Lytechinus pictus: one gene and its partner. The protein of the gene in region 1 interacts with the protein of each later gene in a pairwise test. Links are inferred from orthologs where the notes say so. Each region holds a gene or a part of one and is shown on either strand. Other genes may lie near its edges.

Region 1 (7,781 bases):
GTTGTCCCTGAATCGTCGTCAAATGTGGGACATATAACAGTGGCCCCTAACATTACCCCCCCCCCCCTCCTCCCCATATTAGCACTCCATGGCCATGAGCGTCGATAGATAACGAAGAGGAGAAGGAAGTAATGAATTATTCTGGAAGATGTGTCAAATAATTTTCACGTGCTTCTGAGACTCTTAATAACAATAAATCAAAATGAATGAGGAAGGAAGTTCAACGCACAACCATCCGTTTTCTCTCAGTTGTGCTTCCTTTAATTATTCTAGGAATATATAATTATGTACATGTATCTATATGAATATGTCCGTTTAACCTGTACGGGCCTCTAATGAAAACACTATTATGAAACATCTGGATTATCATGCACAAGGGGCTGTAACCCCGAATTAACAGGATTAGGCTCACAATCATGAATTACATTCATATATAATTATAGGCCTACATTACAGTTTCTATAGAAGTGAATAAAATATTGTCAACTATTTACATTCGATTGTGCGTGTGCTGCAAAATTATTTTTTTTAAAATTACCTATCAATTATCCAATGTCTAGTATCATCTTCCAGTGTACTCCCATGGCCGTACGCAGCGGGGGGGGGGGGGGGGGGGGGGGCAGTGGGCAGTTGCCCCCCCCCCCCCCCCCACTTAAATTTTTTACTGAATTTTTTTACACTTAATTCACCAAAAGAGTGCTCAATGTCCTTCAATTTCACTTTAGAAAATGCGAAAGCGCCCAAATGACAAGCTTGGTCTATTTACCCCCTCGATTATGAGTTTCTTCTAAAATTTTTACACGTCCTCCCCCCCCCCCCCATCACCATACGGCCCTGTTTTACGAAATGAATCTTAGGAAAACAAACAATATGTTCATTGTTCCCTTTCATTATGCCCTATTTGAATTAAATCACACTTTCGATGTCCAATACTACATTTCTTTGTTTATATTTTCATGGGTTATTATCTTTGGGCTCCCTTTTCATCGATTTCACAAGACTTCGGATTTAGCCTTTTCTCAAACTCTCATATTGGCGTTTTGCCTGCAGGCACTGAGCCCGCAGTTTATCAAAAGTGGTCTGAATTTTAAGCCCATATCGGGGCTGCATAATGGAGATGTGCACTGAGTGCATTTCTCAACTTTGGGCAGAATTTGCATTTGTGGTAGTCTTGTCTTACACCCACTTGGTGATTGAAGTTTCAATCAGGGTCTGTGCTTGCAGACTAATCACCAATATCCCTTGTATAGGTCATCTAAGGTCAATAAGTTTCGGCGAGGTAAATATTCACATTGTTGACTTGTGACTCATGAGAGTACTAAAATAGGGGGTTTTGTTTAAGAGAATTATGGGTGATACGGGTGATATATGAATATCCTGATAAATATGCAAGGTCGGACATTATTTCAGCTCCGAGAAGGCTAAAAAGTGCTGCTAGACGGTCATTATCTGATTTTGATAAACCTTCAGTGTTATGTTTTGTTTGATTTTACAATTTTTTTTTACATTTTTTTTTCTTGGGGTGGATCATTCTCTTTAATTGTAGCCTATTATGTATGATCATGAATGAATTTAAAAAATGATTTATTAATCATGATTGATAAGCGGCAATTATCTATGAGAAAAATAACGAATATCAATGAAATAAAGACAAGCCGACACAATTTATTGTTCAATGTCTATGTTAAGTATTCATCACACAAAAATACGACGGATATATTGATAAATTTGTCGTAATACTGATCGTTTCTATTGCCGTCGATTATACAGATTATTGGTACATTATTGAACGCGAATTTTTTTGAGGATATGTTTTGGTTTTCTAATCCTTTTTGAGGAATAATCTCATAGAATTCATCAAGTGCACATCGACCAAAACACAATATCAACTGTCCGGGGGGGGGGGTTCAAGGTGATAAGGGTGTCATTTATAGCATCAATTTGTATAGGATTTACTATTTGTTTGATGTATTTTGGAAAATCTCTTATTGTTCAGTTTCGAATGATTGACGCTCAAAATATTATACAAATGTAAATATGCTGAGATTACAAGTAGAATTTATTCTTACTATCATAAATTATTATGCTTTTTTGAAGGTCATGTTATTTACTTGCAGGGGCGGCGGAACGTATTTTCGTATGGGGGAGCCAAAAAGGACACTTATATGTCAAAATTGGCATTATATATATATATATATACATATATATATTCACCATAAGCTGCGTGAAGTAGTTGTGTGTTTTGTAGTGTAGTAATTAAGTTGAGCAAAGCCTTTTTAAAGTGATTTCTGATTGACAAAATATGTATTTAGGCTTTTATTAATAAGACATGAAAAGTAAACATTCCAAGCAGTTTTTATTATCATTAAAAAGTTGTGCATCTAACTAAAGATGACGCGAGTGCGAAGCGCTACCTGAAATGTTTTATATAAGACCAGAAAAAGGCTCCTGATAATTAAGGTTTGCATGTAGTGACTGATTAAAAGGATACATATCTCACCAATCGAATGCGAGCGCGAAGCGCGAACTGAAACTTTGTAATATTCCAACCTGAAAACTGGACATTCTAAGCGCTCTTTGTAATCAATAACAAAATGAGTACTATACCTTTTTAAATAATAATTGATGCGAGCGCAAAGCGAGTGCTAAAAATTGTGTGATTTTGCAACCTAAAATGCATTATGTTTTTTACTTCAAAAAGGGTGTATCATTTTGAAAAAGGGATTTTTTTTTCCTCAGTGAGGAATTAATTGTTTATTTATTCAAAAAATATTTTTTTGGGGTAGGGAAAGTGCCACCTGCCACTCCCCCCGGTTCTGCCGCCCATGTTTACTTGATATTGATAAAAGATGATACTGAGTTCTGGGGCGACTTTCTCCATAAAGTACCGTAATTTCAGGAAATTACAGGAAATAAAACAATGATAAAAATCACAATATAGCCTACGCCTGTTTGATTGTAACACATTTCAACATTCATGATATTTATAAAATTATTTGCTTTTTCATGCATGCAGATGTAGCCAGTGGCGTAACTACGGGGGGGCATGGGGGCACGTGCCCCCCAATCGGCTGGCAAAAAAAAAGGGGAAAATGAGAAAAAGAGGGAAAAAGGAAGAGAAACGTAGTGGGGAAAGAATATATTATTGTTCATTATAATGTTATATTATATTGTGTTATATTACATAAGAAGCATTTGTTCATAACTTTATGGAACATTATTTGCTTCATTGTGTCTTAATTGTTCATGGTGCTCGCATAGACTGTTTAACGAGATATATAATCCTGTTGTACTAAAACCTCCCGTTTTCAAATCAATATACAACAAATATATTTTTCCTTGCAATTCGAGTTATTATTGTGTTATGTAGTGACATATTCTTCTTTTTCATGACTACTGAAAGTGATTGCCCTATTTTAAGGTCTTAATATAAAACATTTCCTGTCCGTGCTAACGTTCGCATTAGTGGATTGGTGAGATTTCTGCTCTTCATGAACTCCTGAAATCAGTCCTTTAAATGAAATTTTTCTGATCTGAATATATAAAATTTTCAGCTCGCGCTTCACGCTCGCATCATTTAGTTAGTGAAATGCAGTTGCAGTATTTGATTAGTAAGATGCGTATTTTAATCATGATTACAATGACTACAAAAGGTGCTTCATGATCTGTGTTTAGATGTAATTCTAATAAAATCAGCAAAGGATGGCATGAGCATTAGATGACTATGGTGAGATATTTATACTCTTAATGGATTCTAAAATATAGTCTTTAAAATTTCCCTGTTTAGGGTCAATGTATATGAAAATTTTAGCTCGCGCTTCGCGCTCGCATTGTTTGTTTAGCGAGACAGTTATGTATCATGATTACAAAAAAAAAATTGCTTATAATGTCCCTTTTTAGCTCTGAATATCAAAAATTTTCAGCTCGCACTATTTAATCAGTGAGATACATATCCGTTTAATGGCACTGCATGTCCTTAAATATCTCTATTAGGTCAGTATACCTGACAACTGAGCGCGCTTCGCGCGCTCCCTAAGTGACTCGAAATTTTTGCTGGTGCCCCCCCCCAATGCCGTGACCCACGGTACGCCACTGGATGTAGCTAAAAAGGACTGAAAACATGACGCTCGCTCTTGCTCACTGCTTGCAGTGTGGATGAAAACAATTCGATGCATTCACACACTGGCACCAAGAGTGAGCAAACATTATGGCAAAAATGGATAAAAAGGAAAGGAAACGGCAATTAGGTATTTTCTGAATATTATGTCAAAATCTATCACAAGTTTAGATTATATTTTTCATGTTATGTCTTCTCAAAGTTCATTGCTCGTTAACGTGTGACAAGTAGATCCCGTAATTTATTGAAATTAAGATAAAGGTCATGAATTAACTTTTTGTTTTTATCCCTATTCAGGAAATTTAACGCGTTAATAATTTTTTTTAAAGAGCTTGTTTAATTATGATCACCAGGGATGATTCAAGTTGTTGTACCATTGTTCGAAATAAATTTACAATATTTTTTTAAAGATTCCAGCCATGGCAAGACATTTATCGAGATGTATGCTTATAATACATTAATACTAATTTATGATAGACATATCTAGATCTTATTCTAGTATGATACGGTAAGTACCGTAGGCCTATTGTTTTTGTTTTTTTTATCTGAGGCATGCAAGGAGGAGGCCGCGGGAGGCCGAGGGTCGGTCAAAAACTGTTCTCATCGTGGACGCCAGAGGGCTGAAAATAAAATGGCGACACCCATTGACCAAAAATTGAGCAGTGCTATATTCATGATATTGCAGGACTGGAATTAATTGATGCATTCAAAGCACATAATTTTACTCTCTGCGATCAAATTTACGTGATTGGTATCCTACAGCAATTGTTGACCAGGTTTTCATCAGGATTTATGTCATAAACTATGGCAGATGGTCGTAAATACGAGCCTCACTGCTGGCAAGACGTGACAATTGACTCTGGCCCATATGAAACCGTGCATCGCTGGAGACAGATGCCCGAGTGTGATGAGTTTGTTGGCGCAAGGTGAGACAGAAATTAGGGGAGGGGGCGGGGCGGGGTGGGGTGAACTGAAGCAAGACATAGTCCAGCTGGATGGGGCGAAACAGACGAAACAAAGTTATGATGGGGTGACCATAATTTGTGCATATTTTGAAAATTATAAAGTTGATTTTCAATCAAGAATTTCACATAAAATTCATTAAAATCATAAATATCAGGCAGAAGGGCAAGATCATAAACTAAAGTCAAATTTGCTTGACAGAATTATAAAGTGCCGGTAGGTCAAGGGTTTTGCTGGTATCGTGATCTCAAAATTCCATGACAATCGACTAGTGCACGCTAAAACTAAAAAAAATGTAACCTTAATTTGCGCACAATTGTTTTGCAAAGATTTAACGTTAGAAAAGAAATCAAGCAGACCAAGGTAAGGTTATTGTATCAGATGGAAGTTAAAATGCCATAAATTTGGTTGGTATCACATTTACTTCTTTGGAGACCTCTCCTTGCAAACTAGCGATTTCTTGGTGCATGTGAAGATGACTCGAGAAGTTCAGATTTTCTCGGAGTGGACGCACAAGGTAACAAAATTTGCCAATATTTTCACAAAATGAGACCCTACCTTCAAAATAATTACCATGCTAGGTAATTTTGGGTCGCTTTCTCTGTTGGTAATATTCAGTTATTCAAGATTTTGATTAGATATTGAGATATTCGACCCTGCACAAAATTAGGTAATGCACGAATTAAGGTCACACCAACATAATGATTTGACTGAGATTTTGAGCAGTAGAGGTGCTGTCCAGCACGGTAGCCGGACTAGCCAGGAGGCTCCTTTACTACATTGTACGTAGGGGCCTAGCCAATCTCCACAGAACCAGGGACGCAGACGGCATGCCATTGCAGTACACGCACCATCATTTTTCCCACGATTCAAGCTCCTCAAAATAACAACTTTAGGGTTTTGAGCCCAAACTTGTGTAAATGGGCTACAATATATCCTTTTAAACCCTTTTGGCCAATATTTTTATAAATTTAAAGTGTAATTTTGTGTTGAACTATAAAAATGTTTGCCAAAAGGGTTTAAAGGATATTGTAGCCCAATTGCAAAAGTTTGGGATCAAAACCCTAAAAGAAAAGTTGTGATTTTGAGGATCTTTATTCGTTGGAAAAATGACTTTGATTTAGCAGAACACATAATGACAAAGACACTTTAAATACTTAATATGGACATCAACCTCAAATTTTGCATACCATATGAAAGTTTATTAGTACTCACTTAAACATTTTTGTAATAAGGTGTGTGACAGTGTGAATCAAATTTGCAAAATTTATTATTTCATTGCAGAATGTAGACAGGAATAACCGTCGTTTCTGGGGATTTATTCAACAATTTCTGACATTTTACTGTAATCCCCATTTACCGACGGTAGGGTGTACGTGTGGGCTCGCATGTGTTCTCATTCCCTCCCTTTTGTCAATTCACAGTCCAAAGTTTGATGTAATTTTACACATCGAATTTACAATCTAAGGATGTATAAACAACAAACTTTTAATTGATGATATTCCAACATTTAAATACTTTAAACGATATAGATGAAAAAGGCATGAAAAATATACTTTACCGATGTTTAATTGGGTTGAACACGATAAAAATTTTCAAAATGGCAGCCAAACTATAAAATATTTACAAACGAACGTCAACAATCACGAATGTGATATCGATATTGCTTTCGATATTATACGATCTGCTCCATATGCGAACGAAACCGAAGATAAACGATACTAGTTATACTAGTACGAGTACTAGTTATAATCGCGATATATCGATTCGAGACATTAAGTTAATAACGACAATGACGTCATTCAAGATGGCAACTTGCAAGAAAAACCGTCAGGTCAGGTGAAAATGTCTTAGATGACAGATTTCTCAATCATCCAGAGGATTTTTTTCAATAACTCCGGCCCAAGGTATGCAATTACTTAAGTTATATATATTTCCCTGATAATGGAAACCATGAAACTTTCAATTTTGCTTAAAAAACAGTTTTAAATCGCGATCTATAAAACGCTAGTTCACTATACGTTGGCTGTAGGTACGGGGCCCCATCCCCTTCAGTCTATGTATGGTGAGTGGAGCCAACGTAGTTCAGCGGAACAACCAAAATACAGAGACTGAAGCTTTTGGTCTATGCAGAATGTAATCTGCAATGTTAAAGATAAATACATGAACCAGCAGTGGTAACGATCTCAAAATGAGTTCAAACAGTATCTAATAAAATTACCACCCAAGTGTTTGAATATGTATAAATAAAAAAATATGTACCAAATAGCTCAGAAAAAATATCTGGAATTGCTGAAAAATGAGCAAAATAAGCAAGGAATTCCATAATATGTATGGTATTTTTATGAAAAATATACACTTTCCCACATACATGTATGTACTTTTGTGTAAGTGATCATCAGAATTACCGGTTTTCAGCTAAGATTCAATGATTTCTTAGAGATAAGTTTATATCAATGTACCAGAACTAGATCTTTGATAATATCGTGGCATTTAACCTTGATTTTAAAGACTTTATCATATAGTAATTGTTTACTGCAACTTCTTTCTTTCCCCTTTAAGTTTATACCTTCATTGCTTATTGAATGTTATTGACCACTGTCTAGATGTGTATTATAGGTTTAAAAAGAAATCATGTTGGTGATTTATTACGTGTGAATATAATTCTCTTTCTTCACTGTTACAGGAGGAGCAAGCATAC
Region 2 (7,823 bases), about 28 Mb from region 1:
AGACTAAGTGGATATCAAGCAATAATACCTACATCCTGTTCCAGGTCTAATAGAGCTTTTCTGTATGGTTCCAGGACCTTGTCTAAACCTGAACAGAATGTCCTGAGATACAATCCATCAGGGAGTCTATCCACTGGCTTAATTTCTGAAAAGAGACAAGAACATTTCACATTAAGTGTGACCAATCTTACTATTTGCTCATATTCATGATTTATTAAAACAAAGGAAACCAAACTTCATGACTGTTTGTGAGAGAATTTATTTTAGTAATTATTTTATATAAGTTGCAGAACAATAATGTTCAGTGTTGATTCGACTGAACAATAGCATATATAGTTCCCAATTTAATGCTAATGAGATGTATTGTAGGAGATTACTTACCTTATTTTTCTAATACACCTAATACTAAACACTGCCAAAAAGGACAACTTGTTAGTTGAAAGAAATCTTTCTATTTAAAGAATTTTCTAAAGGTTTCATTATTAATATTTATGCCCAGCTATTTCTGTTTATCTCGGGTCCCCTTCCCTATCTAATATAATAAAAATTCCCTGAAACAAATCAACTTTCTAACTGAAAGATTGATTTCTGAAAAGATCTATTGTATCTAATAATACTTAATAGGAGCTTTTATGGAATGGAACAAACTCCCTCTCACAATAAGACAATCCACAACAATCGAGTCCTTTAAGAAGTCCCTTAAAACTCTTTTGTTCTAGGCAACTGCCTTCATTTAATATGTCATTCTGCTTTTTTGTTTGTATAAATATGTTAACTGAAATTGTGAGCGCTTTGGGCCATGTGGGAAAAGCGCGTTATAAATATTGAGTATTATTATTATTATTACTATTATTATGAGATTGAATGCACAATCCAATGATTGCTATTTTGTTCTCTATTGCTAACAAGATCAAACTGGGAGGAAGTATAATTTTCTCACAGAGGGGTGTGCCAAGTCTACAAACTGAATTTCAATGTAGGTCAAAGCATAACAGCACCTCAAAATAGAAAAAAAATCCTTCTGTCTTGTATAAGTTTACCTTGATTATGTTTCCCTAAGTAAGGACTGCCACTGTATCTTTTGATGAAGGTCTGGAGATTCTTATAAATAGCCCCTAAACGACAAACTCTGTTGAGTACACTGACTTCACTCACATGGATAAAAGGAAGATCTGGAACAACCTAGAGGCAAAATAAAGAAATATGATAATAAACACAGATACATGCCTTGAGATTCAAGTATGCTTTCCAAAATTTCTTGGGCCTCTGCCTCTGATATATCCTGGATCCACTCCTGGTCAAGATTACAATGTTAGTTTAGATTATACCGTTTGTTTATGAACAAATCACGTACTGCTGGCTTCATTTAAGGTGTGAAGGTTTTTCTAATTTCTTCTTTAATTTATTGTTCCAAAAAAATAATGTTTTCCAAAGATTGCCATAATTGAGGATGAACTGCAAGGTCTTTTTTCAAAGTATTTTATTCTGTTGGTGCCCTTATTTCATCAAATAATAAGAGGATTGTGCAAATGATGAATTTTGACAAAGTTAAAATTTTGCCGATGGGCTGAATTAAAACTGTGAATTTCATTAGCCCCACCATGTATCTCATCTCTATGGTCCAATCCAATCTCATTGAAACCACTGACCAAGCAATTTTTATTCATTTTCTTATTTCAATAAAAAAAAATCAATGATTTTTTACTACTCTCAATGCACAGTTTATTCAGTCTTAATTAAACCAATTTCAGGCAAACATTACTTACTTTATGAATAATAATAAAATACAACATTTATATAATGCTTAATACAATGTTTCTAAGTACTGCAAACTATCACTTACTTGCTCACTTCTTTTCCACATAAAAGGGTGGTGGGTAACGTTATATTATTGCACAGGATTTTAAATAGAGTTTACAATCGGATCAAAAATTGCAATACAATAATCTTAATTTGATTAACTCAAAGAATCATGGAAGAAGAAAAATTGAAGAAGAGGAAGAAGTAGATAGAGAAAGAGGAGAAAGAATAAGAAATAGAAGGAATAGAAGGGGAGGAGCAGGAGGAGGAAGAAGAGAAAAAAAAGAGAAGAGGAGAAGAAGAGGAAAGTGAGAACAAGCAGGAGGGGGGAGCAGGGGAAGAAGAAGACAAAGACTTTTTCAAAGAGGATGAGGAGAAGGAAGAGGAAGACAGAGAGGACACCTGAGGAAGAGGAGGAAGATTAAGAGCAGAGAAGAAAAGAAAGAAGAAGACAGCGGAGAAGTAAGAGAACAGGAAGACGAGGAAGAAGAGGGAGACAAAAAGGATGAGTAGGCTGTAGGAGGAAGATGAAGAGGGACACCTGAGGAAGAGGAGGAAGAGCTAAAGGAAGAGGAAAAAGGAGGAAGACCGAAGACAATGCCAAGCCCAAGGGGAAGAATCACTAGAGGGGAGGAGAAGAAAAACAAAATGAGGAAGTGAAGAAGGAGAAGAACAAGAACAAGAATATTTACCACAAGACAGTTCCAACCTTTCATTTTCAATTTCATTTCGACGTAGGCCTAGGCCTAGATCATCTATCTAAAACAGGAAGCAAAGCACCTAAAAAAATAAAAGTAAAACCTACCAGCACCTTTCACTTGTCACTCATCACATTCACAAGCTGTGCTTTCTTAGTTGCTACCTCTTTTGCTTTGTTCAAGTTCTTAAAATGTATTGATGCTTTATTTATCATTGGAAATAAATGTACTTCATTCATTCATTCGTTCGTTCATTCATTCATTCATTCATTCGAAATTAGCTTAACATCAATTGGAATGAATGGGACTGGAGTCTAATTACCTGTATATCACTGTGCCCATGTTCCATAAAAATACCCCCAGGAAATCCATTCAGAGCCATCAGTAAGTCATGTAACATCTTGGTTGCAATCTAGATGATCGAATCGAAGAGAAAAATCATGGATACAGACTTCTGCAGAGTCGGAATTGAATATTTATCAGGCCCGTTTCACATTAGGTTAATGAATTGTCTGCAGATAGAGTCTATTGCCTACTAGAAGAAGTTGTTCTTTGAATAATTTATATTGATTTATAAAGATGTATGATGATTCTTTGTTCCTTTAAAATAATTTATAGTTGTAGAATTTATTTTATTTTCGTCTTGCAGTTTAATTTTTATTATTTATTTTCATATTTTATTTTAAAGTACCTAATAAAATCTACTTTTTAGTACGAGCCTGTATTTCACAATCGCGCGAAACTTGTGTGGAGCTACTGTTATCTCTTAATATCATAAACGTTTTTATTAGTTAAAAATAAATTAAAGTACATATTAAAATGGATGAAGTAAAATCTAGCACTTCTTTGGATCCTAAATCCAAGTCAGGAGAATCTGGAAAGTCGGGGGGAGCTGGAAAATCGACTTCCTATGAGATGCCTTGGTAAGTGACTTAGCCTTCGCCCTTGGTCCCATTAGCTATAAAATTTGTTGGTAGAAATTCTAGAATTATTTGGGTCCAGGCCCAGGGGCCTGGGGCCTGTTGCATGAAAGGGTCTTTCGTAGAACCATTCTACGTAAGAACGAGATATCGCTCAACTGTTTCACAAAGCCGATTTGGGCGATACGAAGAATGGTCCTTGGAAAGACACCTCCAGACATGTCCTACGTAGGCATGATCTTCTTTGCACACCGCCCGCCACCGTCTGCATTGAGAGAAAATGCGTTTATGGCAAGCCACACTGACATATCACCTTTAAACATTTTTGGCGCCAAGTTATTATATGGGGGACTAGTTGTCATCAATTTTAGGTCGTCTGTTTGCACGGCAAGACGACCAAAAACAGATGTCATTTTAACTTCTCCGGGCATTATGTCCGGGGGTAATGTTGTAGGCCCAAATATTTTTATAAATATTTTTCCTTTTAAGTTTTATTCTCCGTCCTATCCCCACACCATTTCCATTAATTTTTTTTTTGAAATATCGAAATGGGTGGCACTATCTCTCTGACCCTCATGCTTTCTCATTATAGATAATTAAACAACATGAAAACAAATTTCTTTAAAATAAATTATGTAGGCCTAAGGTAAAAACGTGTTTATAACGTTTAGCAAAAAAAACACGATACAAAACTAAAATGTTAAACATGGTAAATCATTCATTTATTTTTATTTCATTTTCATTATAATTATTTTTTTTTGCTGAGATTAATTTTAATCAATAAAAATTAATTGTCGGATTTGGGCTAACTGGAGATGTGAAACAGTGAAACAAAACAAAAAATCTGCAGTAACAAAATAGCTCATTGAATTTAAGATACAGATTAGGCCTATAGCTTACGAATCCATCACAATTATTACAAATGAAGATAAGCTAGTTCATTAAAGAAAAGATTATGGAAAGTCCATACAAAGAGGCGCATTTTAAATCGTAGGGTAGGCCCTTTTCGGCCCCTATGCAATGTTAAAGCAATAATGTAGTCTCTATACTCCTCAACTTTGAAATGTTGAACATATATATTTTTTATATTCTTAAACCTTATATTCTTATATAAGCTTCCATAAATTAAGTGATCGACTTTAAAGATGACCAACGTTTATGATCATTGTAATATTTAGCATTATTTCTGTAAATAGTATTTTTTCCATTGCGGATTGCACACCGTTTTCTATGTTTTAATTGTTATTGCAAAGCACTACTTTATCCACTTGGACATGTTTGCATATTTTCCTTGTCTTCTGTTACTCATCATGCAACTGGTATGTTTATACCCTAAACACTCATATTTGTATTTCTTGCGTTATATCTGACAAATAAAATAAATAAATTAGATTTTTCACAGGCAGCCTCTCATATTTTCCATTTTAGTCTCATACAATCAGACACTGTTGATTTTGTTTACTCCATTCAAACCCTATTTTTACCTCAACAGATAACTTATTCACGCATAATTTGCAAAATCATCATTATATATATGTATTCAATAAAAAATCAGTATATTGAACTAATAAAATGTCGAAATTACTTAGTTAAATCAATTTTTATGTCGGACAAGGGTCTGTTTCGTTTAAATATCAATGAAAGGTGTCTCTAAAAGGACACTGTGTTCTAAATAAAGAAAATAATGAAAATTTCGATTTTATCCAGTTATGTTTGTGAATCTTGAAAGTTTTTTCTGTTTTTGCCTCATAAAGTACGCTCCATACATCAATTCTACAATCGGTAATAAATAAAACATTATTTGATCCCCTTTTATTGAAATATATGATTTTATGAAAAGCCGTCATTCCAAAATAAAAGGTTCAGGTGACGATGAAGACTAAATATTTTTCCGATACTATCGATATCAAACGATGTCACGGACTTGAAAGACAAAATAATTGCATTCGTGAAACGGAAAGCGCTGATTTGTCGCCAATCTTCCTATCTCGGAAGAATGGTCCTAGGACGTTCCTACGTATCGCTCATCTCGTCATGCAACATGCCCCTGTTTCACGAAGGCAATTTTGTCTTTCAAGTCCGCGACATCGTTTGATATCGATAGTATCGGAAAAATATTTAGTCTTCATCGTCACCTGAACCTTTTATTTCGGATTGATGACTTTTCATAAAATCATATATTTCAATAAAAGGGGATCAAATAATGTTTTATTTATTACTGATTGTAGAATTGATGTATGGAGCGTACTTTATGAGGTAAAAAGAGAAAAAACTTTCAAGATTCACAAACATAACTGGATAAAATCGAAATTTTCATTATTTCACTTATTTAGAACACGGTGTCCTTTTAGAGACACCTTTCATTGATATTTCTACGAAAGAGACCCTTGTCCGACATAAAAATTGATTTAACTAAGTAATTTCGACATTTTATTAGTTCAATATACTGATTTATTATAGAAAACATATATATAATGATGATTTTGCAAATTATGCGTTAATATGTTATCTGTTGAGGTAAAAATAGGGTTTGAATGGAGTAAACAAAATCAACAGTGTCTGATTGTATGAGACTAAAAAGGAAAATATGAGAGGCTGCATGTGAAAAATCTAATTTATTTATTTTATTTGTCAGATATAACGCAAGAAATACAAATGTGAGTGTTTAGAGTATAAACATACCTCAGTTGCATGATGAGTAACCGAAGACAAGGAAAATATGAAAATTGCTGCAAACATGTCCAAGTGGATAAAGTAGTGCTTTGCAATAACAATTAAAACATAGAAAAATGTGTGCAATCCGCAATGGAAAAAATACTATTTACAGAAATAATGCTAATATTACAATGATCATAAACGTTGGTAATCTTTAAAGTTGATCACTTAATTTATGGAAGCTTATATAAGAATAAGGTTTAAGAATATAAAAAATATATATGTTCAACATTTCAAAGTTGAGGAGTAGAGAATACATTATTGCTTTAACATTTTAGTAGGGGCCTAAAGGGGCCTACCCTAAAGTGAAAATGCGCCTCTTTGTATGGACTCATTTCCATAATCTTTTCTTTAATGAACTAGCTTATCTTCATTTGTAATGATTGTGATGGATTCGTAAGCTATAGGCCTAATCTGTATCTTAAATTCAATTAGGTATTTTGTTACTGCAGATTTTTTGTTTTGTTTCACTGTTTCAGTACATCTCAAGTTAAGCCCAAATCCGACAATTAATTTTCATTGATTAAAATTAATCTCAGCAAAAAAAAATGATCATAATGAAAATGAAATAAAAATAAATGAATGATTTACCATGTTAAACATTTTAGTTTTGTATCGTTTTTTTTTTTGCTGAACGTTATAAACACGTTTTTTTACCTTACATAATTTCTTTTAAAGAAATTTGTTTTCCTGTTGTTTAATTATCTGTAATGAGAAAGCATGAGGGGTCAGAGAGATAGTGCCGCCCATTTCGATATTTCAACAAAAAAAATAATGGAAATGGTGTGGGGATAGGACGGACCATAAAAGAAAACATATTAATTAAAAAAAAATATTGGGGCCTACATTACCCCCGGACATATAAAGCCTGGAGAAGTTAAAATGACATCTGTTTTTGGTCGTCTTGCCGTGCAAAAAGACGACCTGCAATTGATGACAACTAGCCCCCATATAAAAAATAACTTGGCGCCATCCCAGATAAAATGCATCAGTGTGCAACCCAAAAAATGTTTAAAGGTGATATGTCAGTGTGGCTTGCCGTAAACGCATTTTCTCTCAATGCCGACGGTGGCAGGCGGTGTGCAAAGAAGATCATGCCTACGTAGGACATGTCTGGAGGTGTCTTTCCAAGGACCATTCTTCGTATCGCCCAAATTGGCTTTGTGAAACAGTTGAGCGATATCTCGTTCTTACGTAGAATGGTTCTACGAAAGACCATTTCATGCAACAGGCCCCAGGGCACTCTAGGCGACACCCCTATTCAAACTCAAAGCAGTGTTAAAAAAGGCGGCGACTCCAAACGAGTACGTTTTGGCCTTGAATTTCCAGCCCATTCCTCTAAATTACGGCCTAAATTTAGGTCTAACTTATTTATTATATGTTATTGTTAATTTACCATGTTTACTAATTTTAATTATATTTATAATGTAAAATGGGTACTCACCGTTTTTTTCCAAATTTTGTGTTTTCATCCCCTCTTCTGGCCAACTCTTGCGACAGCTGTTGTCACCATAGGATCCTGTACATGCAAATCCAGGGCGAGTTGTCACATGACGCTCACGAGTCTCTAGGCTTTTTGGCCTTTATTCAAGGCGTTCTTTTTGTTAAATTTTATAATGACGCTTATAATATCGAAATCAATGTAGACGAGTCTGTGCAGGGGCATAACACTTAAACGGGTGTATATGAG

What was found. The genes of interacting proteins can lie anywhere in the genome.
Region 2: the proteins of leucine-zipper-like transcriptional regulator 1 (region 1) and gamma-tubulin complex component 4-like interact in binary tests that used the Homo sapiens proteins (3 or more experiments, as listed by UniProt). The link is inferred for Lytechinus pictus from reciprocal best matches to the Homo sapiens genes LZTR1 and TUBGCP4.

The regions. Positions count from the first base shown.
Region 1 is NC_087246.1:29,177,760-29,185,540, forward strand, and holds the start of leucine-zipper-like transcriptional regulator 1, read left to right. Parts: upstream 1-4,730; 5' UTR 4,731-4,921; coding exon 4,922-5,043; intron 5,044-7,766; coding exon 7,767-7,781. UniProt on the Homo sapiens protein: Substrate-specific adapter of a BCR (BTB-CUL3-RBX1) E3 ubiquitin-protein ligase complex that mediates ubiquitination of Ras (K-Ras/KRAS, N-Ras/NRAS and H-Ras/HRAS).
Region 2 is NC_087246.1:1,561,856-1,569,678, forward strand, and holds the start of gamma-tubulin complex component 4-like, read right to left. Parts: upstream 3,033-7,823; 5' UTR 2,899-3,032; coding exon 2,821-2,898; intron 1,183-2,820; coding exon 1,041-1,182; intron 146-1,040; coding exon 33-145; intron 1-32. Other genes in the region: replication factor C subunit 2-like, read left to right, coding at 3,318-3,421. UniProt on the Homo sapiens protein: Component of the gamma-tubulin ring complex (gTuRC) which mediates microtubule nucleation.